Linked DNA regions of Arabidopsis thaliana. The protein of the gene in region 1 binds, or shares a complex with, the protein of each later gene. Each region holds a gene or a part of one and is shown on either strand. Other genes may lie near its edges. The genes, in order: GRF7 and KAPP.

Region 1 (16,880 bases):
CTCCAAGGATGATAACTCTGCCGCCGCGGCTACTGGCTCAACCGATTTGAAACTTGCGAAAACTCGCCGTGCTAAGCGGGTCTCCACCGTCGCGATACAGGCGGAATCGGAGGGAAAGTCTGACGAGGCTAGTCACGATTCGTCGTTGAGTCATCAGTCTGAAATAGTGGCTGCTCATGAAGGAGAGAGCAAGGAATCCGAGAGCAATGTCTCTGAGGTTTTGGCATTCTCGCCTCCGGCTGTGAAGGGCTCCGGCGAGATAAAGCTTGACCTAACTTTAAGGCTCGAACCGGTGTCACGTGCGTATCATGTGGTACCTGTTAAGAAGAGAAGGATCGGCGTGTTTGGCACGTGTCAGAAGGAGAGCACGTGTAAGACTGAGCTTATGCTCTAAGCTCCGTTTTAGCTATACTCAGAAGTTTTGCCCCCATCAGCTCTATTCGGCTCGGCTCTGATGATCTTCAAGTCGAGCCGGTAACTTTTTTTTAATATATAGTTCTCTATTTCCCCCTTTAATGTTCACTTTCCATTTGTGACAAAAGAATAGAGTATATGTACAAAATTATTTACAGAGATTAATTCAAGAATTGGCTGAGATATTATCTATTTTTTAACGAATAAAAGCAAAAAATTTATAAAAAGAAAGTTGATTTATTTCTAAATATTATGGGCCTATCTGCTATCATTTAATAAGTGATATTTTGGGCCTATCCTTTCACGACTGTATTAAGGAAATTGTCAATACCACGTGGCATATTTTAATAGGATAATGGCGGCTGACCTGGCAGAGTTGAAAGCACAAGCCATGTGCTTCGGGTGTGATCCAGTGGAGATATCGAGGGAACGCAAAGGTAGGGGCCAGATTCTGTAGTACCTTCTTCGCCTACCTACTCTCTTTCCCGAATTTATTTGCCGGCGGTGATCAATCAGAACGGGATTTTAGCCTGAGTAATCGGTCACTGGGAAGAGAATTTCGACGGTGAGAGAAGATGAAGATATTTGTGAAAACTCTCAAGGGGACTCACTTCGAGATCGAAGTAAAACCCGAGGATTCGGTATGCGAATTTCTACAGATAGTTTCCTTACTTGTCAATTGAGACTGTTGAATTACGTATCCGAGGAGGTTTCTCGATCGAGTTTATTGTTCTCTCGGTAGAGTCGGTTTTCTCAATTAAGTTTCTCGATCGAGTATTTGATTTGGTCGATTTTAGAGGTTTCTCTGTTCTTTCGTGATCTGAGAGCTAGTTCTTATAAGTGGAATGTGGTAATTTGGAGGTTTCTAAAGAGAATTTAAACAATTCAGCAATCTTTGTCTATGGGTTTGTTTGGCCATCTTTTTTAGTAATTTCACTGCTTGTAGTGGGAATGAGCTCATTTCATTTGCATTTGAAGTGTGTTTGTTACTACTATGTTTGGATCCATTAACCTTCTGCTTCTCCTAAGTGTTTTCCAATTGGGGAATTTACAGTCTGTCACTGAACTGAGAGTTGTGCAACAACATTTCCATTTTAAAAGATTTCGTTTGGATTTTATACTTCCATCCTGTTATCATCTCTTTTTTTTTTGTGAATGCATTTCTGATAGTTGTAGTCTTGTAGTTGTAACTGACATTTTTATTTTTCAATGCGCTTGACTATTTTCTTGGACTTGTGCTGGTAATTTATCTAATTTCAGGTTGTTGATGTGAAGAAGAACATAGAGAGTGTGCAGGGCGCAGATGTGTATCCTGCTGCAAAACAGATGCTTATTCACCAAGGTAAAGTGCTTAAAGATGAGACAACTATTGAGGAAAACAAAGTTGCTGAGAACAGTTTTATTGTCATTATGATGAACAAGGTACGTTTTGGATCTGGGGAATAAATAAGTAATTCTGTTGTTTTCTGTTTAGCTCTTTGATTACCCGATTCTGATTTATGCTCTCTGGTGCTAAACATGTAATAGAGTAAACCTGCTTCAGCTGCAGCATCTAGTGCATCTGCTGGCACATCGCAGGTGAGTTGGTTCTGTTGTTATGACATCATTATAAAGGCTCAGATGCTGCAACTTGGGATTTTTGGAAAAACTTCTTGCCTCTGCAACTAATGAAACGAAAGTGTCAAATGCTTCTATGTATTTTCTTGTTTGTTGAATGATCTAACTTTGGTGTTGGTTTAGGCCAAGTCGATACCTCCCTCAACATCACAGCCTTCAATTTCCCCTCAGACTCCAGCTTCTGTATCAGCGTGAGTTTTCGAGACAAGTACTCTCTGTTTGAAAAATTCCTAGAATCTATCTGAAAAAACTGTGGCTACATTCTACAACTAATTTCAATATTTTGCCCCCAATTTGAAAACTGTGCAGACCAGTGGCACCTGCACCAACACGTCCACCACCACCTGCACCGACACCGACACCTGCACCTGTAGCTGCAACTGAAACTGTGACTACCCCTATACCTGAACCTGTACCTGCTACTATATCATCAAGCACTCCTGCACCAGACTCAGCTCCTGTGGGGTTAGCATCTCGTTTCAGTCTTCTGCGCAGCTCAGAAATTGACCTACTCTTATTCTGTTTCCTATTTGTTTTGATTAAAATAGAAGTCAAGGTGATGTTTACGGACAAGCAGCATCAAATCTAGCCGCTGGAAGTAATTTAGAGAGTACCATTCAGCAGATTCTTGACATGGGTGGAGGAACCTGGGATCGTGAGACTGTTGTCCTTGCACTTCGTGCTGCATTTAACAACCCTGAAAGAGCTGTGGAATATCTTTATACTGTGAGTTCAATTATTTTCTCTCTATTTTCGTACCGTCATGCAACTTAAGAGGCAGATTTTGGTCACTAATCAATCACTATGCCGAGAATAGATTTCCTTTTTATTATGATTGGCTACCTACTAAGTGAGAGAATACATATTTAAACACCGAAATTCATGTCTTAGGGGATCCCTGAGCAAGCTGAAGTTCCACCAGTTGCCCGTCCTCCAGCTAGTGCCGGACAGCCTGCAAATCCTCCAGCACAGACTCAACAACCTGCAGCAGCACCCGCAAGTGGTCCTAATGCAAATCCGTTAGATCTCTTCCCACAGGTAATACACCTTGAGATAGAAAGCAGATTTGGTTCATTTAAACTCTTGATTATAGATGGGTGTGCAGCTAAAATCTGCTCTTTATCTCTGACAGGGCTTGCCAAATGTTGGAGGAAATCCTGGTGCTGGAACACTTGACTTCTTGCGCAACAGCCAACAGGTATAAGCTGTTTTTTTCTTTTCTCGTACACTTGCTTACAGAGTTTATCAGACATCAATGTGAAACATAAATACTATTTTTGTATATATTAGTTCCAAGCTCTGCGAGCAATGGTGCAAGCAAACCCTCAAGTTCTGCAGGTATGTTGTTCTAATTCACAGAAGAACTGAAATCACTGTCGGTTTTCATTAAATATTGTTTCAAATAATTTTGTCCTTGCGTTTTTTCTTCAGCCCATGCTTCAGGAACTGGGAAAACAGAACCCAAACTTGATGCGGTTGATTCAAGACCACCAAGCTGACTTCTTACGCTTAATCAATGAACCCGTTGAAGGAGGGGGAGAAAGGTATGCATATGATGACTTTACGATTATGAATTAATGATTCATATGTAACATATATATCAACAGCAAAACGTTGGGAGGATTTTGATTACCTAAATAGTTATTCTGTGCTTGGATAATTTGTTGTGCATTGTGTAATTCAGTGGCAACCTCCTTGGCCAAATGGCGGCGGGAATGCCACAGCCACAGGCGATTCAAGTCACACATGAGGAACGTGAAGCCATTGAACGGGTCTGTTCCTTATTTTCTCTCTTTTTTTTTTTTTTTTACTTCTAGAACTTTGATCTTTCCTCTGAAAAAGAAAGTTTGTATCACTCTTTATAATCGATGAACTCGGTTTCACATTGATAAATACAGCTTGAAGCGATGGGATTTGAGAGAGCATTGGTGTTGGAAGTGTTCTTTGCGTGCAACAAGAATGAAGAGTTGGCTGCAAACTATCTTCTAGATCACATGCATGAATTCGAGGAATAAGCTTCTTCAGATTACTTTACCTACTCTCTATCTTTCGCATTGGTCCATATGTTTTAGCTATATATGTGTGGGATGCCAAATCCATGACCTCGTCACTTTGTCCATGTTCATGGCTCAGTTCTCAGTTTAAAATGAAGTTTGTCATGTGTTCTTTCTTTGTATTGTCGTTAGTCCTTACAAAATATCTTGTTCCAGTTATTTTTGTTGAATTGGGGACAGGTATTATTTCTGTATGTGCCTAAATAGTAAAATTATTAAATTATAAATAATTTTTTTTAAAAAAAAAAGGAAAACTCGATAATCTTATAATCGTTTCTTTTGTATGTATGCGAATACACAACAAAAAGTGACTTTGGTCTTCGTTGGACTATTTTGTGGAAAAGTCTTATATCCCAGAAGCCCAAAACTTGTAAAATCCGAAGTCTATGGCCCAAGTAGAGTTCTCCACATCTGACAAAACGACATCGTTCGATGGAACTTTACGAGGCTTCTTTTCCCTCACATCGTCCTCCGAGCCCTCACTTGACAGAACTCAGAAATTTGAAAGAGAAATAAAAGAGAGAGAAGCTCCCAGAGAAGAAAAGCCCTAAAAGCCCCACTCCTCTTTCCAGTTTCTTTTGATCTCTCAGCATCGAAAATGTCTGTGCGTGTACTGAATCCTAATGCTGAGGTGCTCAACAAATCGGCCGCGCTTCATATGACCATCAACGCCGCTAAGGGTTTACAAGATGTACTCAAGTCGAATCTCGGTCCTAAGGGAACTATCAAGATGTAAGTCTCTTCACTCTTGCTGGATCTATCTATTGTTTATTCGTCTCTTCACTTGTTACTGAATTTTCATGCCATTTTATCGATCACTCCGGTGTGTAGGCTTGTTGGTGGTTCCGGAGATATCAAGCTTACCAAGGATGGCAACACGCTTTTGAAGGAAATGGTAAGTCCGATAAAGAAACAAAAATTTGTAGATCTTCTTTTTTTGGTATGGAAAAAATGGTAGATCTTGTTGATTGGTTAGAATAATCTAGCTTAATGTTTCTTCTTACTTGTGAATTTTGTCAATAAGCTTGTTTGTAAAACGCTAGGGTTGTGCCTATTTGTTTGTTTTCAGAAATGGAATTTGGTAGGTTCTGGTCGAAGTCATGTTAAACCCTAGTTAGGTTTAGGTTAGGCTGTTTTTCAAGATTGTGATAGAAATAATAGACACAAATCTTTAGACTGGGACTGGTAATGTGACTATCCTGCTCTAATGAATGACACTAAACCGGTTGCTTACAGTGCTTACTTGCTTATCTTTTCAGCAAATTCAAAATCCAACAGCCATCATGATTGCCAGGACAGCTGTTGCTCAGGATGACATAAGTGGTGATGGTACTACTTCTACTGTCATCTTCATTGGTGAGCTTATGAAACAGTCGGAGCGTTGCATCGATGAAGGTTAGCCAAACTAGCTTTTCTCTGCATTATACTTTGAGTAGGGTAGTTTTATGCTTCGCTATGTCTGTTCTAGATAATCAGTTGGATCTGATGCCATTCATTTTCTGTATCTGTTTGTCATGGCTAACATATAATACTTTTCTTCTTCAGCTACCTTGTCATGTTTTGGTTAATCTCAGTGAGAAATGGTCCTTATGAAAGGTTTACTATGTCTCAGGAATGCATCCACGTGTCTTAGTTGATGGTTTCGAGATTGCAAAAAGAGCCACTCTCCAGTTTCTCGACACTTTCAAGACACCTGTGGTTATGGGTGATGAGCCTGATAAAGAGATTCTGAAAATGGTTGCCAGGACAACGCTAAGAACTAAGGTATTCTTTGTTTGCTGATATTTATATCTTTTTTGTTATCACCAACTCTTCTCTTCGCTTGCTGACGGTCTTTTTTTTCTGGCTTACTTAGCTGTATGAAGGCTTAGCTGATCAACTGACTGATATTGTTGTTAATTCGGTAAGTTTACTGATAGCTCTCATTGAATATCATCTTGCTTTTTCACATATATGAGAACTAATCTATGGATCAATTTTGGTTTGCAAGCCGTTTGTCTTCTAATTAGCTACTTCCCTCATTCAACAGGTTCTCTGCATTCGGAAGCCTCAGGAACCTATTGATCTGTTTATGGTTGAGATTATGCACATGCGCCATAAATTTGATGTTGACACACGATTGGTACGCCTTTGTTTTACAGTAAATTTCTTCAGTCGGAATTTACTCTATTAAAATGACTTGTGTATGTGATTAAAATCTTTTTACTGGTAGTGGTCGTGAATCAAATATATCATCTTAATGCACTCGGTGTGAATGTAACATGGATTATTTCTCTTGTAATAGGTTGAGGGGCTTGTTCTTGATCATGGTTCGAGACACCCTGACATGAAGCGACGTGCGGAGAATTGTCACATCCTGACTTGCAATGTGTCATTAGAGTACGAGAAGAGGTACATAAGACAAATCTCTGGTTGATTAATTGAATAGATATGAAAGACTATAACTTAGAAGAATTCTCCCGTGTATTAGTGATTGTGTAGCCTAACTTTGTCTATATATCAGTGAAATTAATGCAGGATTCTTCTACTCGAATGCGGAGCAGAGGGAAGCCATGGTTACTGCTGAGCGACGTTCCGTTGATGAAAGAGTTCAGAAAATTATTGAGCTGAAGAACAAGGTGAGTTTGAAACTACTACCTCCAAGCTATATGCTGTATTCTTTCAGATATTTATTTATATTATTCTTTCAGATATTTATTTATATTTTCTTTTTCTGATGCAGGTTTGTGCTGGTAATGATAACAGCTTTGTTATCCTAAATCAAAAGGGTATTGATCCCCCGTCATTGGATCTTCTTGCTAGAGAAGGGGTAAGCTATGATTGGCTTTGTATTTTTTTCCGGCATCTGATTGTGAGAAAAGCATGAAAAAATGTAGACGAAGATTGTGAAATCAAGTGAACTGAAATTTTAACCAAATAGAGAAAAGGTTATCCACTAAGAGTATTCACCTAGAATCTCTTAAATGCCTGGATCTTCCACCAAGCTTGTTTTTTTTTGTCTTGTGCTCTGTTTCTTGTGTCTACAAGTTGTTACAAGAGAATTATCTTTCTGTTCCTTATATATGTATATATGTATCTCCAGATAATCGCCCTTAGAAGGGCAAAGAGGAGGAACATGGAACGTTTGGTTTTGGCATGTGGTGGAGAAGCTGTGAACTCTGTCGATGACTTGACCCCTGATTGTCTTGGTTGGGCTGGACTTGTATATGAGCACGTTCTTGGAGAGGAGAAGTACACATTTGTTGAGCAAGTGAAGAATCCTCATTCATGTACTATCCTCATAAAAGGTACAAATGCCCAAACTTCTATCTCTTGCCAGCTAAGTTTTGAAGATCAATTTTGCTTATCTTCATATGTGTGGTCATTGATTATCTATGATTATGATTTGGTTTTCTTTATAGGGCCTAATGACCACACTATTGCTCAAATTAAGGACGCTGTCCGTGATGGTTTAAGATCAGTTAAGAATACCCTAGAAGATGAGTGTGTCGTATTAGTAAGTACCTTCTTCTCCACAAAGATCAAATCCATTGCTATATCAGTGTGATTGTTTTGGTTTTGGGCGCATGTGGTTTATTGACATCTGTTTCTTTCTGTAGGGAGCTGGAGCTTTTGAAGTTGCAGCAAGACAACACTTAATCAATGAAGTCAAGAAAACCGTTCAAGGGGTGAGTAGAAAGCAATATTCCTTTGCTCCAATACCAATTCTTGTTTTTTTCCGGTTGCTAATGTAAATTGTGGGCAAATTGCAGCGCGCTCAACTCGGTGTTGAAGCTTTTGCTAATGCCCTTCTCGTAGTGCCTAAGACGCTTGCTGAAAATGCTGGGCTTGACACTCAAGACGTTATCATTTCTCTAACGGTATTATTCTTGTATTTTCCTCTTCTGCCACTATCGATTATGCTCCAAGTAAAATTATGTTTGTGTTTATCTACTGAGTTTCGATGTATATACAGAGTGAGCATGACAAAGGAAACATCGTGGGACTAGACCTACAGGATGGAGAACCCGTCGACCCTCAGCTTGCCGGCATTTTCGACAATTACTCGGTGAAACGCCAACTTATCAATTCAGGGTATGTGCAGAACCAAATGGAAATTTGTATAATGGAGTCTTTTAATTCAGTTGCGGTTGAGTTCAGGTTGTTAAAACGGTTGTTTGGTATTGTATTGCAGGCCGGTGATTGCTTCGCAGTTGCTATTAGTGGATGAAGTGATTCGTGCAGGAAGAAATATGAGGAAGCCTACTTAAAACAAGACTATCTTTTGTTTTCAATTTTTTCTTACTTTCCCTTTCGTGTTTTGAGTATTAGCATATGAATACTATTTATTTTTTACTCGTTATCCTTTGTTGTCTTAGATAATTTTGAATGTATCTTTTTTTTCTATCTTTTGTATCAAACAAACATGATGAATGTTTTGATTGTGGTTTCTAGCGAAAACAGAACAAGATAAAGATTTCAGAATTTTAAGAAAATGGAACCAGATTTATGTGTAAACAAACGCAATTAAAAGTCAAATCAACAACAATGCACGGCATACTTTAATTGATTTTTATTTTTCTAGTAACGGAGTCAAGGCCCAATTAAATTATTTATTTTCCACGATCATTAAAGTCTTTAACGGGTCAACACCGTTAGACACTTGTCATACTATTACTGGGCCTTATTTTTCTCTTTACTTTCTCTGAAAATCAAAGCCCATCTCTTCTTCCTTTTTTTTCCCCTAATTTCTCACTTCCCCCTCATTTCGCGTCTCGACCTTCGAATTCGACAAATCCCTAATTCCAAAATCCTCTCGGTAAGCTACGGATCTAGTCTCTCTTTTGCTCATAGTTCGACGAAATCGTCTCTCTGTTGCTCGTTCATGTTTTCGTTTCGTTTTGTGGACTTAATCTTCTCTGTGTTCGTTGTTATCTGGAGATCTGGCAAAATCTCGAATGATTTTGATAGATTCTAGGTTTCTAGGTGTATCTATCGGTATAGTGTTCGTTTTGTCTTGATTTGTTGGTCTCGACGATTTATCTGTTGTTTCTTTTGTTTTGTTGGGAATAATGTTGATATAGCCAAGCTACTGTGATGTTGATGAAGTTTGAAATGAATTTTTGAAAACAGGATCTAAAAGAGTGTGTGATAACATAAGATGTCGTCTTCTCGGGAAGAGAATGTGTACTTAGCCAAGTTAGCTGAGCAAGCTGAACGTTATGAGGAAATGGTTGAGTTCATGGAGAAAGTTGCAAAGACTGTTGACACCGATGAGCTTACTGTCGAAGAGAGAAACCTCTTGTCTGTTGCTTACAAGAACGTCATTGGTGCTAGGAGAGCTTCCTGGAGGATCATATCTTCCATTGAACAGAAGGAAGAAAGCAGAGGAAACGATGATCATGTTTCCATTATCAAGGACTACAGAGGAAAGATCGAAACTGAACTCAGCAAAATCTGTGATGGAATACTCAATCTTCTGGATTCTCACCTTGTTCCCACTGCATCTTTGGCCGAGTCCAAAGTCTTTTACCTCAAAATGAAAGGAGATTACCACAGGTACCTTGCTGAGTTTAAGACTGGAGCTGAGAGGAAAGAAGCTGCTGAGAGCACTCTGGTTGCTTACAAGTCAGCTCAGGTAAACTCTTTAAGTTTCAACATCTATCTATCTTATTTTGCTGCTTGAGACCAGTAAAGGAGCTGTCATGATGAATGCTTATGTGTGTTTTTCTTCTAATGTAGGATATTGCACTTGCTGATTTAGCTCCTACTCATCCGATTAGACTGGGACTTGCTCTTAACTTCTCTGTCTTCTACTACGAGATTCTCAACTCACCTGATCGTGCCTGCAGTCTCGCAAAACAGGTTTGTATTTTGTCATACGGGATGTTATGATGCTTCCAGACTTTGTAACACTTATTCCAGCACCAAATTGCTTAATGATATTCTCTCAATTGTTTTGACAGGCTTTTGATGAGGCCATTTCTGAGCTGGATACATTAGGAGAAGAATCATACAAAGACAGTACGTTGATAATGCAACTTCTCCGTGACAATCTGACCCTTTGGAACTCTGACATCAATGTACACCTTTGTCTTCCTCCTTTTGCTTTTCCCTATAAACTCTTATATATGCAGTCTAAGCTTCTTTTACTCAGAAATTTCTCTCAAACGCTGATTGTGTTGCTGATTTTTAGGATGAGGCGGGCGGTGATGAGATCAAGGAGGCGTCAAAACATGAGCCGGAAGAGGGGAAACCAGCTGAGACAGGGCAGTGACCAGAGAGAGAGGGAGAGACATTTCTAAGTATGTATGGTATGGATTTTCCAAAAACATATGATATGATTAGGGGATTTGTAGAAGCAGAGAGAAAGATCTTTATTTGATTTTCTCCAAAAATCTCTGTTCCCTTTTTTTTTTATTGGGTTATTAAAGCTGTTTGAGTCTTTGGTTCCTGCTTCGTTGCTTGTTAGTATTTAGGAAGTGAAGAAACAAAACTTTGAATTATTGCTTTCCATTCAACTCGTCATAAATTATCATAATCAGTGTATTATTTACTTAGTTCTTATTAGGGTATTCTGATTTTTGCTTAACGCAACAGAATTTGTGTTAACCCATTTTTAAAGAATCTTCAATCTTGTATCATTGGTCGGGTCAGTCGGATATATGGTCCGCTTTTGGTTTAAGACCGGAACAACGAAAGCCGGGGATATTGAGCCTTTCTGATGATGCGCCTCCGGGCGGTAATGCTATTGGGACATGGATTACATTCTGATCAATAGGGACTAATAGTATGGATTTACTTTGTACTTCAGACTAGGGTTTTTTTTTTTTTTTTTTTTTTTTTTTTTTTAAATATTATTAATCCTCATCCCAAATGACCTTGGGCCGCAACAAAAACAACATCAAATCCAGTTACAAAATTAGCAAATCGGAAAACATGTCGGCAAAGAAGGAAGATCGCCGCTTGTTGATGGAAGCTAGCAGAGAGACCGGAGCATTAGATCCGGCGGGCTCAAGCCCTACAGTTTCGAGGCCGCAACCGATGCTCGAGAAACTCCGACGAAAGAGACCGGTTTTCGTCCTCGAATCAACCCCACCGGCGCACCAACCCACCACAAGACTCCCAGAAAGCTAGTCTCCCCAACAAGCACATCGACGGCACCGGATTCTGAAGAAGCAATCCGATACACTGGACGGTAACCCTTCCTTCCCAAACCGGTACAGATCCGAAATCCCAGAGCTATTGCGTTTCAACCGGCTCGATGGATGCAAAATTGTGACAAATCTAAAGGAAGGTGGCTCAACCGAAGCCTTCAGATCCGTAACTCACAACCGCCCTCTAAGATCCTGAGGATCTGCAGTTAACCACCAAGCAAACAACACTCCCACCAGATGCCCTCCAACTTCCGCCGTGGGCGCAGCTCAAGACCGACGGATGAGCCGGAGGACCCGAAGCACTCACGACGTCCATAAACGTGAGACAAACGCTGCAGGTTCCTCTTCCGCCAGAACTTGAGCCACAACCACATCGGAGGGAAATCGCCACACCACCGTTGACGGAGAGAACGCAAAGACTCACTCCTGGACCGACGTTGAACAGCTACGTCCGGAGAGTGAAGAGCAACTGAACCTAAAGATCTAGATCTGAGAAGAAGAAATCGCCTTCAAGTGAGAGAGAAAAGCGTGGAAACCAAAGCAACGATTGTGCCTTCCACTTTTCTTCAATGGTTAAATGTTTGGTTGTCTCCAGACTAGGTTTTGGTCTCTTCCGTTTTAGTAGTTGTTCTCGTGTCGCTTAGAGTCTCTGTAGGTGGTCAAAGAGATGATAATATTCTGATTTGTAGAGTATTATCTATCTCATTGTGGTTTAAAAATGCAATGGTTCCTCGATCAGGTAGCGCTGGATCCGATAGTGTTTCAGGGTGATACTAGATCAAACCATTGCATTTGGGTCCAATTTGATAGAGGGGAATGTTATGTACCTTTAATTGGATGTAATCATTTGGTAAATGAAAGTTGATGTTGAGCCAAAAAAAAAAAAAAAATCTGATACAGGGAAAAGAAAAGCTTTAAACTCTTAAAATCTTTTTGTAGACAATTCAACACATAAGTCTCTTTCCCTACATTTCATTTATTTCTCTTTTCCTTATTTATTCCTCTCTTCTTCTTCTTTTGACAGATTATCCTTTTTCTATTGTTCCATTTTTTTATTCATGTTTTCCATGTGTACATTTGTATAAGAAGTTTTTTTATTCAAAATAGTAATCTGCTGTAAACTTAAAAATAACTCCAAACACACATTATCAGTAAATATTTTGAGCATGTTTATAGAAATACGAATATACGGAAATCAATGTATTGAGTAATTAGGAATAATATGAATTAAATATAATTAAACACATACACTTAACATATAAACACATCGCTATTCCTATTATTACCATCCCCCTCGAATCCCACTGCTTTGCTTTTGCGCTTGTCTCTCTGTGCATTCACCTTCTCTCTCTCCTCTCTCTCCTCTCTCTTTCTCTGTGTCTAATGGTTACAGCTACTTCAATCATAGCCTGGTCGAATACTCTTCACCTCTCTTCTATCTACTTATCAAAGTTTCGATTTTTCACTTACTCTTGTTAAACTCTCTTACCATCTTTTGTCTGTTTTCCAGGGGCTCTGGAGAAGATGGGCAACTAGGAATTGGTACCAACGAAGAAAAGGAATGGGCTTGCGTCGTTGAAGCTCTCGAGCCTTACTCTGTTCGCTCCGTTGTCTCTGGTAGCCGTAACTCCCTCGCCATTTGCGATGATGGCACGGTACTATCCGAAATATCATGATAATGAGATTTGTCTTGTTTTGATTGGTCTCTTTGCATTTGGGGACATGATTTTATAAGTTCTTGTAAAATTTGAGAGACCTGTTTTAGTTTGGTTTTATAAGTTCTTGTAAAATTTGAAGGAACCAAAAAACACATAGTTTGGCTTATTAATCATAACCAATGAAGCTCTGTGTCTTCTTATCTTGTGGGAAAAGTCTCTTAGTTGAGATTCTTGATTAGAAGCTAGCCTATAGCTCAAAGTTGTTTTCTTGAACAGGTTTTGTTTGTGTTATCATGGAATTGGTCATTATTTCAGTAGTTTGATAGCTAAATTAAAGGTTTAAATTCACAAATAAGATTTAAAACCTCTATTTCGCTAAGTTATGTTTCGGCTTCTTTGAACTGATCTCAGATGTTTACATGGGGTTGGAATCAAAGAGGTACATTAGGACACCAACCAGAAACAAAAACAGAGAACATCCCTAGTCGAGTCAAGGCCCTTGCCAATGTCAAGATCACTCAGGTTTGATCTTTCTTTCTACTGATCCATTATGGTTTCTATAGAATATCATATTGAACTACTGGTTCTACCTTTGAATGTGTTCTTTTGTAATGGATGATAGGCAGCAATTGGTGGTTGGCATTGTTTAGCTGTTGATGATCAAGGCCGAGCATATGCGTGGGGTAAGAGAATGCCTTTTCATACTCTATCTGATTTGCTTGGTGAATCATATTGAAAATTTATTATGGAATGCACATAGGTGGGAATGAATATGGACAATGTGGTGAAGAGCCTTTAAAAGACGAGATGGGTAGGCCCGTACGAAGAGATATTGTGATCCCTAAGCGTTGTGCCCCCAAACTTACAGTCAGACAGGTATACTTGCTCGTCTTCTAATTCTAAATGGTGATCTATGGATAATTCATTCGAGGTCTAAACTTCTTAAAAGGTAGCTGCAGGTGGTACTCACTCGGTGGTTCTTACACGCGAAGGTCATGTGTGGACTTGGGGTCAACCGTGGCCTCCCGGTGACATGTATAATGAACCATTAAACTCAAAGCAATAGTATACATTTTGTGCGTTCTAACTTCCAAGGCTATTACTAATATGTTTGGTTTGGTTTCCTCTAAATTGCAGAAAACAAATATCTGTTCCTGTAAGAGTTCAAGGTCTTGAAAATGTCCGTCTTATTGCTGTTGGAGCATTTCATAATCTGGCTCTTGAAGAAGATGGGAGATTATTGGCATGGGGTAATAACGAATACGGACAACTTGGAACCGGTGACACCCAGCCAACATCTCATCCTGTTCCAGTCCAAGGCCTCGATGATCTCACTTTGGTTCTGCTTCATTTCCCTTTTCTTGATTCCCTTTCTACTTATTAAACCTTTGAAGAGTGGTTCTGATTATAAGCTTTGACAATTTGTCCTTCGTTACACGCATCTGCAGGTCGATATTGCTGCGGGTGGATGGCATTCAACGGCTCTAACTGATAAAGGAGAGGTTAGAATCATCTTACGCTCAAAAATGTTTTCTTTCCTTCTCATTCTCACTGTGTGCTAGATCCTTTTTCCGTTATTATATTATGTGTTTGGTCTTCTAATTCTTAGGTGTATGGTTGGGGAAGAGGAGAACATGGAAGACTCGGGCTTGGTGACAATGACAAGAGCAGCAAAATGGTTCCACAGAAAGTTAATCTTCTAGCTGAAGAAGATATAATTCAGGTTTTAAAGCGTTAAGCTTCAATGAGAGATCTCTATTCTTTGCTGAAGAGAATATCATTCATGTAAAGCATTTAAGAATCTTGAGTTCTCTTTCTTTCCAAAAAATTCAGGTTTCTTGTGGCGGAACACATTCAGTTGCTTTGACAAGAGATGGCAGAATCTTCTCGGTCAGTCCTTGAAACCATAAAAACTGCTTTCAGGTTTAGTTTGAAACATCCTTGTGATTATGTTTCTCTTTTCGATCAGTTTGGTAGAGGAGATCATGGTAGACTTGGTTATGGAAGGAAAGTAACAACAGGACAGCCATTGGAGTTGCCTATAAAGATTCCTCCGCCTGAAGGAAGCTTTAATCACACAGACGAAGAAGAAGAAGGAAAATGGTCAGCTAAATCGATTGCTTGCGGTGGCCGCCACACTCTTGCCATTGTAGAATGGAAGTCCGATGATATTTGACACTCAATCTCACTGGTCACTGAAGAACTTGAGAAGAGAAGATATCAATAGATTTTTACTAAGGAAGGCAAAAGAAGAGTGTATCTATACAAAGAAAGAGGGAAAACATGCTTATTTCAAATTTACTTTTTCCCTACAAATAATCTTTAGAAAAAATAATAATTTTGATTTCTAGGGAAAAAAATTTCCAATAATTTTGATCAGGAGATGTAGACATTTTAGTTTGTTGAAAACCTTGAACAAAAGTTTGTGTTTTACAATCTTTTAAATCAATTAAAAAAAATTGTATCATGTGCCAGTAAAAACATTAATAAGTTCAATAAAAAACTCTATGATCAGGAAAATCCATATTATATATATAAATATACAAGCAAAAAAGGATAGAAATTGGCATATGATCTTGCATACATTGCTCCAATATTGTGTAACCAATATCCCAAAATGATTGGTTTGAATCTCAAGAAGCTTTGATAAGATGAGGAAGACAAATGAGAAATATGCATTTGGATTTTCTTGGTTGTCTTTGCATTTTCCTTATCCATGAGGAAAACCCACTTCCTCTTCTCTTCTTCTTCTCTTTCTTTTCTTCTTGAATTTCTTTTGTCATCATATTTTGCTCATTTTCTTCTAACTTCACATCCTTCAAAACCCAAAACCATAGTAACTAATCAGGTAGATAATCACTAGTTATCAAATTTATATAGTTTCTAAAAACAAAAAATATTGGTTGAATTGTTCAACCAGTGATATATAAATATACAAGCGTGCACATATTTAAGTAGCCTTTTCAATCTAAACTACACAAAATCATAATATGGGGTCCAATGAAGATTTCTCATGAAATAATTGTAATATCGAAGTTGGATGATACTGTTTTGTTTTCTATGATGGATACTAGTATCACGTCTTAACAAGGATACAATATTTTGTATATAAACAAACAAAACGTGGAGTCTTATCGCTGTCTCTTCTATGATTAAAAAAAACATTATACACTGCACATTTATGTATTGGTGTTTGCTCTTGTTTTGTGAAAGAGTTTAATTGCACAAACGAGTTCAAAGTTTTATGCAATTAATTATTACGTACGTAATTTGCATGATTTCAAATATTTTGAATGGCCCAATGCAAAATCGTACCAAAATTTGATAATCATTGTTAGAAGTTAATATATGGTTCTCATAGGGCCTTAACTAATGAGTAATATGTCCTTACAAAATTTAGTTCAAACATTAATATATCTAGTATACATAACTTATACGTAACGAGTACTGTCATATATTTAATAATATGTTTAATATGATAAAGATTATTTTAATAAAATATTTCAAGAATATTGTTTCAAAAGGCAAAACTATATACTTTCAAACCGAATTATTTCGAAAGGGAAAAAATTTGATTTTTTCTTTAACGAAAAAAATAATTTGATTTTTACCCATTTTCACAATATGCTAAAACCAAGAATTATTAGAGCAAAATCGTATATAATGTACCTCTTGTTGAGCTTTCAACTTTAGTGCATACTCAACAGGCGAATCATCAGCTCCCACCTGTCTTTTCGTTAATCTCTCCATGATCGGCGTCGTCTTTGCTGCACTAACATTTCCCTGTGCACTCACGACATCTCGTTTAGACCCCACAACTTTCTTATCTGCTATAAACCAGCCCCAAACTCTTTTTTAGTTACAAAAAAAAAAAAAAAAAAAAACTACCTTTATGAAATCATTACTAATCACCTTGAATTAGAACAGGATCGGGAGATCTAGGATCCTCATGAATGATTCTAACTTTAGGATTAACCGTTCTTGGAATGTTGAGATTATAA
Region 2 (16,880 bases), on another chromosome or scaffold:
GAAAAAACCTTTTCCGAACACAATTAGTTGCAATCTACTAGAAAATAATATTAATTGTACATATTACTATTTAGTACTATTTAATAAGTTAATATAGAAGGCTTTTTTATAACATTTTATTTTTTATGACAATAATTAAAATATTGCTCTATTATTGATAACTCAATCTAGAAGTAATTTTTAAAATAAATTTCAGATTCAAAAATTAATAATCTAGAAGTTATCATATTTATCAGATTACATGTTTTTATTTATTTTAGGTATACATGTTCATAAGGCTTTTTTCTCATATAATCTTTTATACTCAACATAATTTTGGTGATGTAATCAAATTCACAAGTGAATTGGTTAATTATTCGGTCAAAGAGAGCGACAACATAAAGAATCAAAAGGAAGCCCACGTTCAAAGAACAAAAATTTAATTAAAATAAATAAATACTTTCAAGTTTCAATTTTTTTTGTTTAATAACTAAAAATGAAAAAAAAAAAAACTATGTCTAGCTAATAAAATAAGGGCAAAAGGGTGACTTCTTGTGAGGTGTGACCGTTTTGAGGATAGTATATCAGACGTCCACATACTTGAAATCATCACTCACCATGTCTTTTTGCTCTGCTTAGCCACAAATAAACCTACCCAATATAATTGCTCTCTCAACATTTTCAGATTAAACATAAAAGTATAAGCACACCAAAAAGACATTGCGTAACTAATCATGTGGAGGTCAATAGGTCAAACAAATGATGTTTAAAGGGACATTTTGATTCATGAATATGAAGCATCGACATGCATGTACAGTTTGAAACATCGGATCCAAAATTTTAAAAGTTGGGTTAGTAGTTTGGAGATTTCACGACATTACTTTAGCCATGTAAAAGTTTGTGATACAAATATTTAACGATGTACTGGAAGTCGTGATGAGCCGTTGTCATTTTAATTTAATTCTCATTTTAACCAACAAAAAGGGGGTTGGTGCACTTATTTCTTTCGTCTCTTGAACAATACTTGGTTATTAATTATACCAAAAATATAAAAATTCAATTTCCTTAGAAACTAGCAATAAACCAAAGTATATAGCGTCAAAATAATTCCAAAGAACATGCAATAATACCGAAATGGATAGACGCGGATCCCATGCAGACTACTTTGCAAGAAAAGGAACGTGAAAAAGGAGCTTTTATAATACCAATCGCCACTCACAGGCTCACAGTAGTAATTATAATTAATAATTAACAATAACCAAAAAGAAGACAAAAACCCTTAACCATAAAGAGTTTCAAAGATGGAGTTTCACGTGTCGCTCACTACATTTTCTTATTATTATATTCCATATAAAGAGAAACCGAGTAGGGAAAAAACCCTACAAAACCGTGGTTTATTTTTTATTTGGCCGTTTAATACCTGTAGTTTTAAAATTGGAATAAAAATACCAAAATTATTTTTTGTTGCCTTTTAAATTCATGGTCTTTTACATTTTGGTAATTTCGAACTTGCGATTTAACATCTGTTAATGGGTGTTACGGAAGTCGTTAACGACGTTAAATATTGACCCTACATGTTTAGATATATATATATATAATATGTTTACGAATTATTCCGTTGATATTGCTTTGGTCTGGTGAGCTAACACCCAAATCATTTTATTCTTGATATCTGGGTTCGAGTCCACCTGCAACTTATTTTTTTTCTTTTAACTTGGTCCATTTCATTTGGGGTTTTGCTCATAGATCTTTGAGACGCAATCCCTTCGATGATTGGTCCTAGAACCCTTCCTTTGACGCTTGTTTGATAATCTCTATAAGTCTCTCCTCATCTTCAGCCTGAACACAATCCCAATCTTGTTCTGGTTTTTACCTCTTTTACTGTAACTGATTTTATTTTTTCAATTCAATTCTCATCGTTTATGTTATTGGTGGTGATGGAGAGATATGTGATTGATGGGAGGTTGGATGAACAGAGAGTTAGGGATTTTGGTTTATGGTGGAGATCGTTGGGGGAGTGAAGGAATTGAGTTGGAAAAAGTAGTGGCAGAATCAATTGCAAGAAGGTGAAGAAGATGAAGTGAAATTAAAAAAGCAAAATAAAAACAAAAAAAAACTTTAAAAGTTGCAAGTTGCGTCGAACCCGTTAACTTAGGGTTATACAAAACCCAGGTTACCACTAGACCAAGAAAATATTTTCATAATGCACTCATAACCGATTGTATATATATAAAACTTAAAGTATTAAATTTAACACCGTAAACGACTTTCGTAACGCCCAGTAACAGTTGTTAAGTCGCAAGTTCGAAATTACCAAAATTTAAAAGACTACGGATTTAAAAGGCAACAAAAAATAATTTTGGTATTTTTATTCCAATTTTAAAACTACAGATTTTAAACGGCCAAATAAAAAGAAACCGCAGTTTTTAAAGCTTTTTTCCCAAACCGAGTGGAAACTTGCACTATTATTGTAATTTAATAGTAATTTAATTTGGAGACATATTTAGGAAAACTACCTTCAAATTTATTATGTCTCACTATGTACAAGTTACAAAATAAATAAATACTATCTCAAGTTATCATTATAAGCAAAGATGGGTTTAAACAAAATATGGGGTTTAAATAAAAATAATTACGATGTATTCCAGTATGTGTTAGTCATATGCAATTAAAGAAAGTAAAAGTATAATAATTAAAAAAGTTTTTAACCAAACGCCGAACACATTCGCCGTCCGTACAAGGAAAAGCCTTTTGATTTGGGTTTAACCAAACGCGGGTTTGTGATGACGTCGTTATTGTACGGACCAACCTAGTTTCTTCTTTTTTTTTTGATAAAAAAATGTTCATACTTATTACATTATAAAACAATTGATCATCTTCGAGAGAATATTGACGTCAAATATGCTTGCTAAATTTTATTATGTTGTGTGTATATATATATGTATGCGTTTTTAATACAAACAGATTATATGCTTTCTAATTTATCTTTTTCAGTTTTTTTTTGTTTTTTTTCAATTGTCTTTTGCCTCTCTGCTTTTCGAATTTTCAAATATTTAAGCAATGACCAAACAATTAATTCTGATTTTATAACTAGTAAGGAACTTTTGTATAATTTGATCCGTGTTCCATTATATTATTTTTTAACAAGAAAATATTACATATATAGGGATACCGGCCTACAATGCATATGTGTTTAGCCTATTAATTCTTAACTACAGAAACTTTTGATTTTTAATACTAAAACCGAAAAATCTTTTTCTGGTGAAGTTTTGGGCCATACTATTTGATTGAGATCATTAATTTTCTGTTGGAGAAGTTGGATTTATATATAATTATATGTTTGAGAGCTTAATTATGTTTTTTAATTTATTGTTGTTTGTTGCCATCAAAGAGAAAATTTCAATGTATATTCTGTATTTTTTTTTTTTATCATAGAACTTTAATTTTTTGGAAGATTCTTCTTCAAATGTGGAACTTCCTGTATCACAAGTTCTTGAAATCGATCCTACTTTTTCATCATATGATATACATGCAATTAATTTGATTTGATTTGGTGGAAATTGAATTGGCATAATAATAAAAGGAAGCTTCTCGTCCTAACAAAGTTGAGGTTGCCACTAATCTCGAACCACTGAGGGAATCTTTCTTACCAAACTAGATTAACTGCCGACCAGACCACAAGCATATTCCCTCTGCCCATTTCTTTCCATTATTTTATCATTTTTATTTTAAGTTAATTGAATCTACTTTTGAGTTTTTTCTCGAGTTAGGAAACGATGATTTTTCTATTAAAAACAATCAAACACATCGGAGAAAAATTGTGAAATTGTAAATACAGAGCAAAATAAGAAGTTTCTCTCTTTTAGGAAGTAGCAACGCAGAAAGATTCCCAATTTAGCAATCCCCTGTTTTCCCGATCGCCTTGAACACATCTTCTTGATACTTGAACATTCTCAATGCCCATCACTTCATCTTCATCTTCATCTTCTTCCTCTTCCTCCTCCTCCTCGTATTCTTCGGTTTCTTCAGGCTCAATAGTCTCTTCTTCGTTCTCTACAAACTCATTGGAGTCTTTCAAGATAGAGAGACGGAGACGACCATTGCTACGGTCAGCTTGAAAGCATCCGTTACGAGGAGGCGCGTTTGTGGCGGTCATGACCAATCTTCCGTTTTCACGGTGTGGTCTCATTTGAATGCATTGAAATCCTCTCATAGTGGTCAAAGGAGGTGGGAGATCACTAGGGCTCACACTCCTTTTCCTACTTTTTAACGTTCTTGTCTCCGTTGTTGTTTCCCCGAGATTCTTGGTTTGCACGTCAAGCGAGAACAACTCATCAATATCTGTAACATCAGAACCAGATTCGCTTCCGAGATTCTCAGTGCACAATGCTAAGCTCTGGTCGCTTAGAGCTCTACAAGAAGACGGACGTTGAACATAGTAACTACTCTCTTTCTCAGAGCTTGTCGTCGTCTTTGTGGAGGAGGAGGAGCCAGAGGATAGGGACTGGAGAGAGCTCCAGCCACTCGAGTCAGAGACCGGGGAAGCAGCAGCTTTGTCATCGTTACGGTTTCGGGTGTCCTCTGCATGAGAGGAGTCAAGTAAATGAGATTTGAGAGCTAAACCAAATGGTTGAGAAAAGTGAGGATTTGGTGAAGATAGCCTAAGCCTTAAAGCCCTAGGCTCATTAAGCTGAGACTGAAACCCTTGTTGATACACAACAGTTCCCATAGTTTAAAGATGATAGAAGAAAAACTGTTAAGAGAGAGCAAAGACTTGTGTGAGATGTGAAACTAAAGAAGCAGAGAGATGTTTTTGGAAATAAGCATGAAGGATAATGAGAGGGAGGTGATGCCAATTTGTAGTGTCACAAAAAGTGAATAAAATAAATAAAGAAAATAAAGAAAAAGAGAAGTGACTGTGCAATGTGCAGAGACTAGAGAGGTGGGTAAGAGAGCTTTTCCACACCACCACTTGAATAATGCAAAATCTTTTCTATTTATTTATTTTATTATGTCACACAAATGCAGATAAGAATACTATTATGTAACAAAGGGAGAGTCGCTGTAGTATTGTGCACATGAATAACATTGAAAAAAAACCTTCATATAATCTTTTTACTGTTACAAAAGAAAAAAATCTGATTTGTTTGTTAGTTAATAGGAAAAGATTTGGAAAGCATAGACTATACAGGAAACTTTGGTTAATCATCGTTTTTGACTCATTTGGCAAAAAAATATAAAGACTGAATTATTCAGCAGCCAAGGAACTTTCGACCCTCATGTGATCTGGGACTGAAAGAGACTACCCATAAAAAGGAAGAAAAAAAAAATCAATAGAGAGAAAGAGAAAGTTCCAAATGAAAAAATGAAAATTAGTGAAAAGATAATTCAAATGAGGTTTTACTAAGAAGAGTAAAATTTTGTATCTTATTAAGGTACAATAACAACAGTTTAACATCTGAATGAAAAATAGCAAAATCAAACGCATACGAAAAAAAACATACGGCCATTTACAGAGAGACACGTAATGGAAGTAACATGTCAAAAAGTTACAGACAAGTTTTGTTCTTTCTTTTATATTTTAATTTTACCTTCCAAAAAAACTAAAACAATCCAACAAAAGTTATGAAAGTTCTCAAATATGGTTTCCCCAATATAGTAGTGCTATGATTATGAAAACGATTGTTTGTTTTTCTCTCTAATAGTAGTCTCCATTTCACATAATTTAAAGCAAAGGAGTCGTGTGTCACACAGAGGCATGGATGGTCAAAACCTATGTCGGGTAATTCTTAGACCCGATTTAAACAACATGATAACAACAGCCCACTAATTTTGAAATCTATATCCCATCTACCAGAAAGAAAAATAAAAATGATTATTGGCACTAATCAAGGAATCAACATAAGATGAGTTTCCATGCAAATTAATGTTTAGACAACAATGGTCATAAATTGAGGAAATTCTCATGTATCAAGAAACCACGACATGAAGCATAAAACAAAAACAAAGAAAGTGAGCCGAAAATACACTCACCTCAATTACACTGTATTTGAATGCAAGGAAGCAAAAACCAAATTCCGCCCACTTATTATGACCTAAAAATGAAAGTTTTTTTTTTAGTTTTTTAATGAATGTGAACAGAAATAATTAAAAGAAACATATCAAATCAAAGTGACCAAGGTTTTAGTTAACTGAAGTACAATAAGGTTTAGTGACAAATAAGAAGAAACCACCTATGTTTCAACATCTAAAACTTTTCTCTAACTCTGAAAAATATTGGCTTAAGTTAACATCAAACCTTGTCCTTTGAATCTAGCCAACAGTAAACTTTCAAGATTTGCCCTCTTAAGCCCATGTGTTACCCTAAAGAAACCGTACGGAACAGCTTAAGAAGACAGAGTTTAAGAATCATTTAAGTCGTCAGCAAGAACCAAGTGATTCCCCACTAAAACACTTTTCTTTCTTCTGTCTCTCTGTTAAATCAGATGCTTACGTACTTAACCCCATTCTAAACAACAAAAGACACTTTTATTTCTTAGTAATTAAACAAATGCCCTAGGGTCACTGACTTTTGCTTAACTCTAAGGCTTGTGGATTTATTTATTATATAAACTAATGTAACCTAGTACTCTTCTCTCTAACCAAAAGAAAGCTAGAATGCATGAGCTGTTCCTATTCCAAAGAGGGTGGGGGAGAGATTTGTAAGATCTTCTTGGGTTTCCTGTAACAGAAAAAGTCATCTCAGTTTAGTACTTGTATCATAGATAAAGAATGTGTAGCTACTACCATTGATGAACTGTGAGCATAATGCTAGCTTGTGTGCTGTATAACTCTATGATCAACTTTAATAACCTATTCCCTGTCTTTTCGAGGTTTATTGCGACATGAACAAAGCAAGTGGATTTTAGTTTATGTTTTCAAGAGATTCTGTGGTCACTAAGTCTTAAAGGATTTGGTACAAAGATACCTTTGATTATATATTATACAACAACAAAAGAAAACCATTCTTACTGTTATCAGATTGTGTCCAATATCAGTACTCAGCTTCTATAGCAAGTAGCATCCTACGATATATTCCCGGTGGTTGATCACGTATTACTTAGTCCTCTAGAACATACCAATAACATGTACAAATGCAGTAGAGAACAGAAATGTGGTCAAAATGTGTTATTAAGAACCTCATGTGGTTTATGGATATAGATCTACCCAAGACACGTTTCAATATTCGGTATATAACTCAGTAATTAGTAATTTAGCAATCAATGTTTTGCTATTAATAATGCTATTATCCATAAAACTAGGTTGGTTTTTCTAGTCCCACTTCCTCTGCTGAAGGAATCAAGAATGATATAATTAAGCAACTAGTTGACATGCTTAGAATGAATAAAGAATGAAATAATAATTAGGATTCTCTAACGTAAGCAAGAGTAAGAAAGTTATGACATAGTTAAACTAATAAAAGTGGAACAAAAAGGAGCTGACCTGCAGACGTAATCTCTAGACAAATATCCACAAATTGAATCTTGATCAGCAGAGGTGGTCCCAAGATCCGAACCACCTCCATAGAAGAGAAGAAAGTAGCACAGCAACCTTTGGCCACTCGAAGGGAGAATGCTTTTGAGTGTGTCCTCATACAAAAAGCTGCTTTTTTATACATGATTAAGATTACGATAATTAAGTGAGTAATGACAGAGGCCAAAAGCATCAAATTTAAATCAGAATATGTTTTGACTTCGTATCACTCGCTTGGTTCATGCCCATGACGCAAGAAAGTTAAAAGAAGAAAGAAAATGAAAAAAGAAACAGAGTGAAACTTCGAATCATAATCCATCAATGTTTGTGATTGGTTTCAAGTTTTCAACTAATGGAGGATCTAAAAGCAAAGGAAATACGTCATACCACTTGAAGTTAAGTGGAGACATAAACTTAAGCCTTACGTTTCCATCTATGTTCTATGATCACAGCGTAAAACACGAGTATTGAATCTCTTGGCTCACTATAAATTGCATAACAAAAAAAAAGAAGCATTCCACCATCTTTTTGACCATATTAGTGGAACCTTTATGTGACAATTCTCCGACTTTTAAAATTCTGACCCAGAAAGAAAATCTATATCATTAGAATGAGACAGGGAGCTTATCTAAGCCATGCATACAAATGTTATCGGCTAACATAATTTATAACTTTAGGCAGAGAAAGAATAGAAACTAAAGATTATTAGGAAATAGAACTTTCTCCTTTGCTTTTAGGGAAGCATGACATCCACACGAAATAACAATCTCATCCATAGCTAATGTCTTACTCACATATCACCCAAACAAGTAAAAATTTCAGCAGATTAGATGTCAACATTTTTCAAAAGTTTTAGCGTGGTCTAGTTATCACGACTCAAGTACGGATTAATACGAACAAATAACACAGGTAAACTTACATTTAGTTGATGCACTATAGGAACAATGAGTCAATGACTCTTCATCAGCTCGGTCTTATCCAAATGAAAAGACATGTTGATCCAACAAAGATGATATTGTATCTCACGCCAGAAAGCTCTTCATGGTTGTGCCATGCCTAGAATATCTTGAACCATAAGACAGTGGGAAAATTTTCTCAAGTTAGAGGAGAATCTAAACTTTCACTTAAAACCAAGATTGAGGCAGAAACAGATTAAAGTCAAATTTAGCACTCAAAGTAATTGAATGATTCACTTACTATTAATGGGAAAACACTCAATAAATACGATTCTGTTAGAGTGGCGCTCATCAATACTAAACTTAACCAAGCTAATAAGAGAAATATAGAATTAGAGAGGGCTATAATATTGTTATGCAAAACAAACAGAGTAAAACAACAACATGGACAATCTTCACTAAAAACATCTACAGTTTTTTTTTTAGCTTAGGCTGCACCGGTAACGCATATCCATTTACTGACAGAGGTAAAATGTAAGATACAATAGTTGAGAAGTTGAACAAAAATGGCATACCAAACATGATTGTAGTTAATTGATTGTACGAAGATAAATGCATGTAGCATTACCCATTACTCCGATCCGTCTCTCAATAATTAATGTAGAATAGAGAAATCTCTCTTCATCATACAATGTCATTAAAGATATCCCACACATTAACAAAGAAGTTCTTACTAAATCCCTAAATCAAATCAATATAATGCATTCTTGCTCATCAAAATGCAACCCTCAAGAATTCAACATCTTTACGGTACAATAGGGAAGACAATGTCTAATGACTCTTCACATTTCATTGAACATATATAAGCAGAAAAATTTCAAACTATAGTTGCAGAAATTTCCAACCCGTATAAAGAAAAGAAAAAAATGAAACATTCAGGCTCATATGCAATAACAACGTCGAAATAATGAAATTTCAATCATCTACATGATCATGTAGTAGAGTGCTCTCAACCGTTGGATTAATTTATACATTTTCTATGTGTAAATGTGTATCATGATAGAAAAGGCACGCACCAATGGAACATCTGGGTAACGACGTAGCAATCAACCACATAATCGACGATCAACATTGAAATCTGAGTACGCGCGACTAACGAACGAAACGTTTAGGGTTTGCAAAATTGAAGGTTGAAGAGACGAAGAACGGAGACAACGTCATAGGGAACGGTTACGTGGTATTAATCTGAGCATCGGAATGTGAGCCATGTGACGACGTGGCCTCCTCTTCTCTTCCCGGAATCGCCATGGAAACAAAAATAAAATTTCTTGGAACGAACTAGCACATGTGCCACGTGTCACACTAGGCTTCTTACATTTTTTTTTTATAAAAATAATTAAACTGGAAAATGGAAAAACAAATAACAATTCATAAAAACTGTAAATTTAAAAATATATCTTCTTCGTCTTGATGATTATACATAAACATAACTTCCTTAAACAATTACTAGGTTTTTTTCTTTTTCTTGTTGCATGAAATATAAAATTGCAAAAACATAGTAAAAGAGAAACAAATTATCAATAAGAAAAACACCACGCCGGTCCAGCTTGAGCCTCCCTACAGAACCGATAATAAAGCCAGGCCGGTCCACCTTGCGGCTCATTATGGAACCGATTATAAAGCCAGGCCGGTCCACCTTGTGGCTTATTGAGTAAACCATTATGAAACCGGACCGGTCCACCTTGTGGCTCCCTACGGAACCGATTATAAAGCCATGCCGGTCCACCTTGCGGTTCATTACGGAACCGATTATAAAGCCAGGCCGGTCCACCTTGGAGCTCATTACGGAACTGATTATAAAGCCAGGCCAGTCCACCTTGCGACTCATTGCGTAACCCATTATGAAACCGGGCCGGTCCACCTTGTGGCTCACTACTTAACAGATCTTGAACCCAGTCCGGTCCACCTTCGTCCTCATCAGCACGTAACCGATTACGAAGCAACGCCAGTCCACGTTGCGCCTCACTACGTAACCGATTAAGAAGCCACACCGGTCCACCTTCAGAAAGGTACGGGTTAAAACGACCATCCCTTGTAACACTCTCCGCAATGTCCCGTGCAATGGAATTAGCAGGACAAGACACCAGCTCAAAGATGATAAAAGGAAATGATTGACAAGCTATGAAAATAGTATCGAGCCACATTGCATATCGAGGCCAATCCCGAGGATTATACAAGGCAGCAATTGCAGCTTGACAATCCGAAGAGATTATCACGTTTTGCAAACGAAGATCTCGTAAGCTTTTAACCACCCACAAGATACAACGCAACTCGGCCATGATCCTATTTGAAGACCTTGTAAAAGCATCTCTTGCATGGTATAGAGCCAAACCATTAACATCACGAGCAATCCAAGCTACCCCACTCATCATGTCAGCATTTCCCCAATGAGCATTCACATTACACTTAACAATTCCAAAGTCTGGAGGAGTCCAGTTAAGATCCAAGCTCGTCCCCCGAACAAAGCATGCGCCATATGTATCTATCTGTCGCGCATTAAGCCACCGTTCCTCTTCTTCAACCCCTATGGATCCTTGTACACTCAAATCCACATGTCTACCTGCAAGCAATTTATCATTTTTATTAAACAAATTAAAGATAAAATTTCTGAATTATTAGTTAGATACAAGTTACAAGAAAAATTGCAAAATTCTAGCTATCGTCTTTTTAAAAACAAACGTTAGACATTAGGCTAATTGTATAGTTTATGATAAAAGGACAACGACATCAAATTAAAAAGATTACAAAACTCATTAGCCATACAAAAGTTAAAAACTCACAAGAGTGTTAAACACAAAATTGACAAGAACCATATAGATTTAAATTGATATATCAAAGAGAGAAGGTTCAGTTACGATTTATGTGTCCTCTGTGATGAGCAATCATGACTTGAGAAGTAGACAATAGCATCGTCTCTTGAACCTTGTTTAAAGGTCTGACCGGCCGTTTTGTTAACCAACTGAAAGATTCTAACAACAAATTTTCTTATATATATGCTTTACCAATTGTTGTCTTTGAACAACCATAAAAAACAAAAAACAAATTGAGAGTTCTTAAATACACAAAATTGAGAAGGTAGTGAATGAAGACTATTATTATGTTACCAAATTATATATTCGTATATGTTTACCACATTTAAAGCATAGTCAATAAAAAATAAAAACGTTACCAAATGGATAATATATTGAAAGTTGATTAGTAAGTATCATTTATGTAATTTCCATCTCGTGTATGCATAATTGTATGCATATTGGTATTATAAATTCATATGGGACTTTAAAAATGGAGTAGTTGCATTTGTTGATAAAACAAAAGAAAATGGAAGTTCTCTCTGATTCAAGAATAAAGGTAACTGTAACATGTTTTATACTCACATAGACATTTTTGATTACTATGTTTTACAAGATTTTAGGAAAATGACTTGTGTGCGTGTGTGTGCTTGTCTGTTGCATAAAAGAGAAGAGCACAAGACTGATATTTACGATTGGTATATTAGAATGCATTATACATTCATGTTTAAATTTTACTGCATTAGGGATTACATTTTGTTATTTTTTGTGCTAACTAATTTATTTTGATTAGTAATCATTTATCACAACGGTAAGAAGTACTATTCCGTTATTTCTGTTACCCTACAAAAAGCAGTAAGCTTTTGATTAATAATCATATATCGCAATGGTAAGAAGTATACTGTTATTTCTCTTATCCAATTCCTGCTTTTGATTAGCAATCATATATTGCAATGATAAAAAATAATCGGATATTTTTTGTTACCAAATACATAAGGCGGTAAGATTAACAATGCCAAAACGTTACCATCGTTATTTTTGTACCTCTATATTATACCAATTTTTCTAGATGTTACTCGAAATACATCTAAACATAAATAAGTCATCTCGATCGAAAAACTTTTCATTAACAATGAGATTTCTAGAATCATATCTACATATCACTTAAGTCTTCAAAAACATAACCTTTTTCTTTACAAGATTCTTGATAATTCTAATCTATTTAATTTGTTTTTTTTCAAAAAATTAAAACCATAAATCAAGTGTAAAAAACAAAAAAAATCTCATAATCTATAGCGTAATCCACATATTAACCAATAGTAACTCGTGGAGGTGATAATTATATAGCTTAATCCAACCCTAGCCAATCATGTAAAGCGTTAGGGATAATGTACTCTTAGAGTCTATCGACCAGTGAAAATAAAAAGACAGTGAAAATACGATAAGAGAAAGAAAAAAAAAAAACAGAGAAGGTAAGAAAAATTCAAAGCGAGGTTCTCGGGAACCAATCTGGAAGGAGGAGGGGTGCAGAGAGAGAGAGAGAGAGAGAGAAGCGAAGACGATGGCGATGATAGGGATGAACATTATTGGGCTATTCATGGTTCTTATGTTGCTTCTCATCTCCCTCATCATCCTTTTCGCCTGCAAGCCATGGCGATATTTTTCTCGTTTCCGATCCTCCTCTCGTTTTTCTTCTACCTTCAAGGTTTCTTCTTCCTCTTCCTCTTATCTCATTCTCTATTCAATTTTCAGAGTCTTCGTTCCACGGCTTCGTTTTTTGATTTTTGATTCGATTTTATGTCGGATGGTTTGTTTTCGCGAAATGATCAATTGATAAAGGATTTGATCATCAGTGACAAGTGTTACGTCGCTGGATCATGATGCTTTTCTCGTGGATTCCGATAGTAGTTGGGGTTATTTGGCGATTTCGTTGATTGATTTTGTCGACGTGGGGGCGGTGAGATATATATTGTGTGTTTGGTTTCTGAAATAATCTGATTGACTTTTTGGAGATGATAATGTGTTGTTGAGTTTTCTCACTGTTGAAAAATTAGGATTCTTTTGTTGTTGTTAGATTCTTTTGAAGCTCAAGAGTTGATAGATTCGTTTGGTTTATAATGAGTGTGGCTGGATTTTCTCTGCCTGCTCGATTTGCACAAAATGGTTTTGTTTGAATAAAGCGTAATGGCCGTTTCAGCTTCTTTTGTGTGCTATGTTTTCTTCTTCTTCTCTAGCCATGGCTAATTGACATTTTCAACGGCTCAAACTGTTGATGTGCACTTAGACAGACATTGGAAGTAGGGAACTCTTGTGAATTTGCTTGCGAAAACTGTCGATTTGTTTCTGAATTTGGACATTGGTGCTTATATATTAGGCAATGTGAATGTTGCCAAGAACTCAGTTTCAGTGTGGGAAATTATCGTGGGAGAACTTCTTCCTCATTAGTTACCTTTTTGTAGGAATTCTGTGAGTTTTGTTTTTTTTGTATTTTTGTCTTTCTACCGGAGAAATGGTAACAAATGAATGAAAAAGGTGAAATCAGCTGTTCATTCATTTCCTAGCTCTGTTATACTCTACTCCTTACTAATCTAATAGGCGGTTTTACTCTCACTGGAAATAGGATACAGCTCATCCATCTAGTCTTTTCGCTTGTAGATTTCATTTGTTTGCAATTTCTCCATAACTTGGATAACATACTAAAATTGTATAAGAACTAAATCCACCTTATTATTACTACATTCTTCATATAGGGAAATATTGAGTTTCTCATCTTTCAGCTATTGAGTATCCAGTTTACGCAACTTTTTTTTTGCTCCTAGCCCTAATTCTTTCAGCGCCATTGTTTGCAGGTGGGGGATTTGCAGAGACCACTTATTTCTGATGATGGAAATTTGATCCAAGGACAAACCAGTGAGGTAACAAGGGAATATGATTTAGAGGGAGCTTGCTACCAAAATGATGGACTTTTGCATTCATCTCTGACTGAGGGACGGTTTTACAAACAAAGGCTTCCTTCGTCATCTCCCCATTTCTCCCAAGGTACTCATTGCCTCTTTCCTCCCCTGCTATGTCCAGCTCTGGTAGACAAGTTGGATTGACTCTAGATCATTAGCGTGATGGAAATGATACAGTTGTATCAGAAACATCCTCTTTGCATTATGAACTCTATGCATCACTCATTCTTGACCTTACCAATCTGCCCTAACTTATGTAGGTGAAAGCTTTGTTCTAGAAGTAATTTCTGAACCTTCTGACAATGCTTTGGTGGGCCAAACGCTTAAACTTCCAGCTGAAAAAGGTTCCTTGGCAGAAGTGCAAACATATGACTGGCAGAATAACAGAAATGAAAACTTGCAATATAATCTGGAAAAGGATCGACTTATTAATCTTTCTCCGAGGCTCGTGGAAGATCAAAGTAATTTCTTATTCTTTTGCTTGCCTAGGGTGTGTAATACAACTTCAATCCATTTTTTGAATTACTTGTGCAAGACATATATCATATTTTGTGTTAGAAGTGCAGGAAGTTGGCTGTTCCTGGAAGTCATCGCGGGTCCTGCCATTGGGCTTCAACATGCTGTGAACTCCACAAGTTCCTCCAAGCTGCCAGTGAAACTTGGAAGGGTTTCTCCTTCTGATTTGGCATTGAAGGACTCAGAAGTCTCTGGGAAACATGCACAGATAACATGGAACTCTACTGTAAGGAGCTATGTAGATTTATTTATACGACTTCTGCATGCCACTTCTTACACTGTGCGTCACACCTGCCTGGTTTTGATTTCAGAAATTTAAATGGGAGCTGGTAGATATGGGTAGCCTAAATGGAACTCTCGTAAACTCTCATTCAATAAGTCATCCTGATTTAGGCAGCCGGAAGTGGGGTAACCCTGTCGAGCTTGCAAGTGATGATATAATAACTTTGGGAACAACAACAAAGGTCTATGTAAGTCAATCTGAGTGGTGAAGGTGCTTGCTGGTAATTTTTTTTGTTTCCCTTGTTAATTTCATGCAATTTCTTTTCATCTTTGGAAGGTCCGTATCTCCTCTCAGAATGAGTTTCAGATACCCTTCAAAATTGGTGTGGCCTCAGATCCCATGGCTATGCGTCGAGGAGGCAGGAAACTTCCGATGGAAGATGTTTGTCATTACAAGTGGCCGCTTCCTGGGGCTAATAAGGTTACCTTGATTAGTGATTTGAGTTGTATGTATGATGATGGGCTTCGCTGCTTTTGATAACATAATTCCAAATGTATATGGTTTCAGTTTGGACTGTTTTGTGTTTGTGATGGACATGGGGGATCAGGGGCTGCTCAATCCGCAATCAAGTGAGTCTTTCTTAAAAAAATCCAAATCACCTCTATTAACTATTTCTTTTATAAAATCCTCCTCGATAGGTCTTATTTTGGGTTTTCTTTGTATGCTTAACCTACGAAATGTCCTAACCTGAAAAAGGCTGCGGTTTTGGCTGTGTTTAAACTTCTAACAGCATCCGCCTTTCTGAGTTTTTCTTTATTGTTTTTGCTTCATTTATTAATCAACTTCTTATGTAGTTTAAAATTTTTAGCTGCATGTGATTAGCCATGCAAATGTGTTACAGTTAGGGCAGGCGTGGTTACAGCCGGGAACAAATATATGAAACTTTGTTCTGTTCATTTTTGTAAATGGGCTTAGTCATTATATGTTAGGAGCCTTCACTAACTACTGGAGCATCTTTGATTTACTTGTGTCTCCAACAACGGCAATTATATACTTGAATATATAAGCTAATTAAACTTCTTCTCCAGAATTATTCCGGAGGTTCTAGCGAATATTTTATCAGACTCGCTGAGGAAGGAGAAAGTGTTATCAAAAAGGGATGCTTCGGACGTCCTTAGGGACATGTTTGCTAAAACAGAAGCTCGCCTCGAAGAACACCAATATGAGGTATTTCAGTTTGTCCTTTTCTTTTCCTTTGATGGCATGTTTGCCTTCTTGACGACTTGGCTGGAACTTTTTCATTGCTTCCTACTTAATGAATTAGTTGATCGATGCAGGGTTGTACAGCTACTGTTCTCTTGGTTTGGAAAGACAATGAAGAAAACTTCTTCGCACAATGTGCCAATCTTGGGGATTCAGCATGTGTTATCCAGTACGTAAAAAATATTATATTGCTATTCTTGAGATTCGTAGTTGCTGAGCTTGCATTAACCAGACTTGTAGCAGCATTTCTTGGTGTAGAAAGAGGGAGGGGACTTGATTACTCAGATTAGAAACAAAGATCTTGCGTGTTTAAAGCGTGAGTGAGTGTGGTCTTCTTAATGAAAACCTCTTGGTTTGGAAACAGTAGATGATTACTAATATAGGCTTTATAGTAGAGTAAATAGACATCAATAGATGAGATTGTTTCACGTCGGAGTAGAATTTTTTTGGATAAGAAAAAGAATATTTGAATGTCGTTGCTTTGCTTTGTGGAAATAGAAAGAGAGTTTATCCCTACATCTTCCTTGATACGGATCTTAATTAATAATAAAAAATTCTGATAGTTGTTTTGCTCTTAGGAATTAATGGTCTCGGCATTATAATAGTAACTTCGACTTTCTTAACTGATTACGATTTGGTTTGCATTTGGCAGTCTTGGTGGCAGATATATACAAATGACTGAAGATCA

Evidence for each region.
Region 2: GRF7 (region 1) and KAPP share a complex: the UniProt entries of both Arabidopsis thaliana proteins name them as parts of the SERK1 signaling complex.

Annotation. Positions count from the first base shown.
Region 1 is NC_003074.8:520,261-537,140, reverse strand, and holds GRF7 (general regulatory factor 7), read left to right. Parts: upstream 1-8,752; 5' UTR 8,753-8,883; exon of another isoform or gene 8,884-9,062; intron 9,063-9,197; 5' UTR 9,198-9,225; coding exon 9,226-9,702; intron 9,703-9,806; coding exon 9,807-9,929; intron 9,930-10,030; coding exon 10,031-10,147; intron 10,148-10,260; coding exon 10,261-10,341; 3' UTR 10,342-10,848; downstream 10,849-16,880. Other genes in the region: LBD41 (LOB domain-containing protein 41), read left to right, coding at 1-394; RAD23C (Rad23 UV excision repair protein family), read left to right, coding at 990-1,055, 1,675-1,836, 1,942-1,992, 2,155-2,222, 2,341-2,496, 2,580-2,757, 2,923-3,069, 3,164-3,229 and 4 more; AT3G02530 (TCP-1/cpn60 chaperonin family protein), read left to right, coding at 4,684-4,817, 4,917-4,980, 5,345-5,480, 5,698-5,849, 5,941-5,988, 6,115-6,207, 6,370-6,476, 6,589-6,703 and 7 more; AT3G02510 (Regulator of chromosome condensation (RCC1) family protein), read left to right, coding at 12,605-12,633, 12,732-12,876, 13,291-13,401, 13,502-13,562, 13,640-13,755, 13,829-13,914, 14,017-14,218, 14,328-14,381 and 3 more; AT3G02500 (mental retardation GTPase activating protein), read right to left, coding at 15,513-15,695, 16,549-16,709, 16,792-16,880. UniProt on the Arabidopsis thaliana protein: Is associated with a DNA binding complex that binds to the G box, a well-characterized cis-acting DNA regulatory element found in plant genes.
Region 2 is NC_003076.8:6,475,653-6,492,532, forward strand, and holds the start of KAPP (kinase associated protein phosphatase), read left to right. Parts: upstream 1-12,666; 5' UTR 12,667-12,797; coding exon 12,798-12,941; intron 12,942-14,085; coding exon 14,086-14,275; intron 14,276-14,450; coding exon 14,451-14,651; intron 14,652-14,756; coding exon 14,757-14,932; intron 14,933-15,017; coding exon 15,018-15,176; intron 15,177-15,265; coding exon 15,266-15,409; intron 15,410-15,496; coding exon 15,497-15,558; intron 15,559-16,017; coding exon 16,018-16,156; intron 16,157-16,266; coding exon 16,267-16,361; intron 16,362-16,482; coding exon 16,483-16,512; intron 16,513-16,844; coding exon 16,845-16,880. Other genes in the region: FAF3 (FANTASTIC four-like protein (DUF3049)), read right to left, coding at 3,842-4,708; AT5G19270 (reverse transcriptase-like protein), read right to left, coding at 9,965-11,007, 11,303-11,357. UniProt on the Arabidopsis thaliana protein: Dephosphorylates the Ser/Thr receptor-like kinase RLK5. May function as a signaling component in a pathway involving RLK5. Binds and dephosphorylates CLAVATA1 (CLV1). Functions as a negative regulator of the CLV1 signaling in plant development.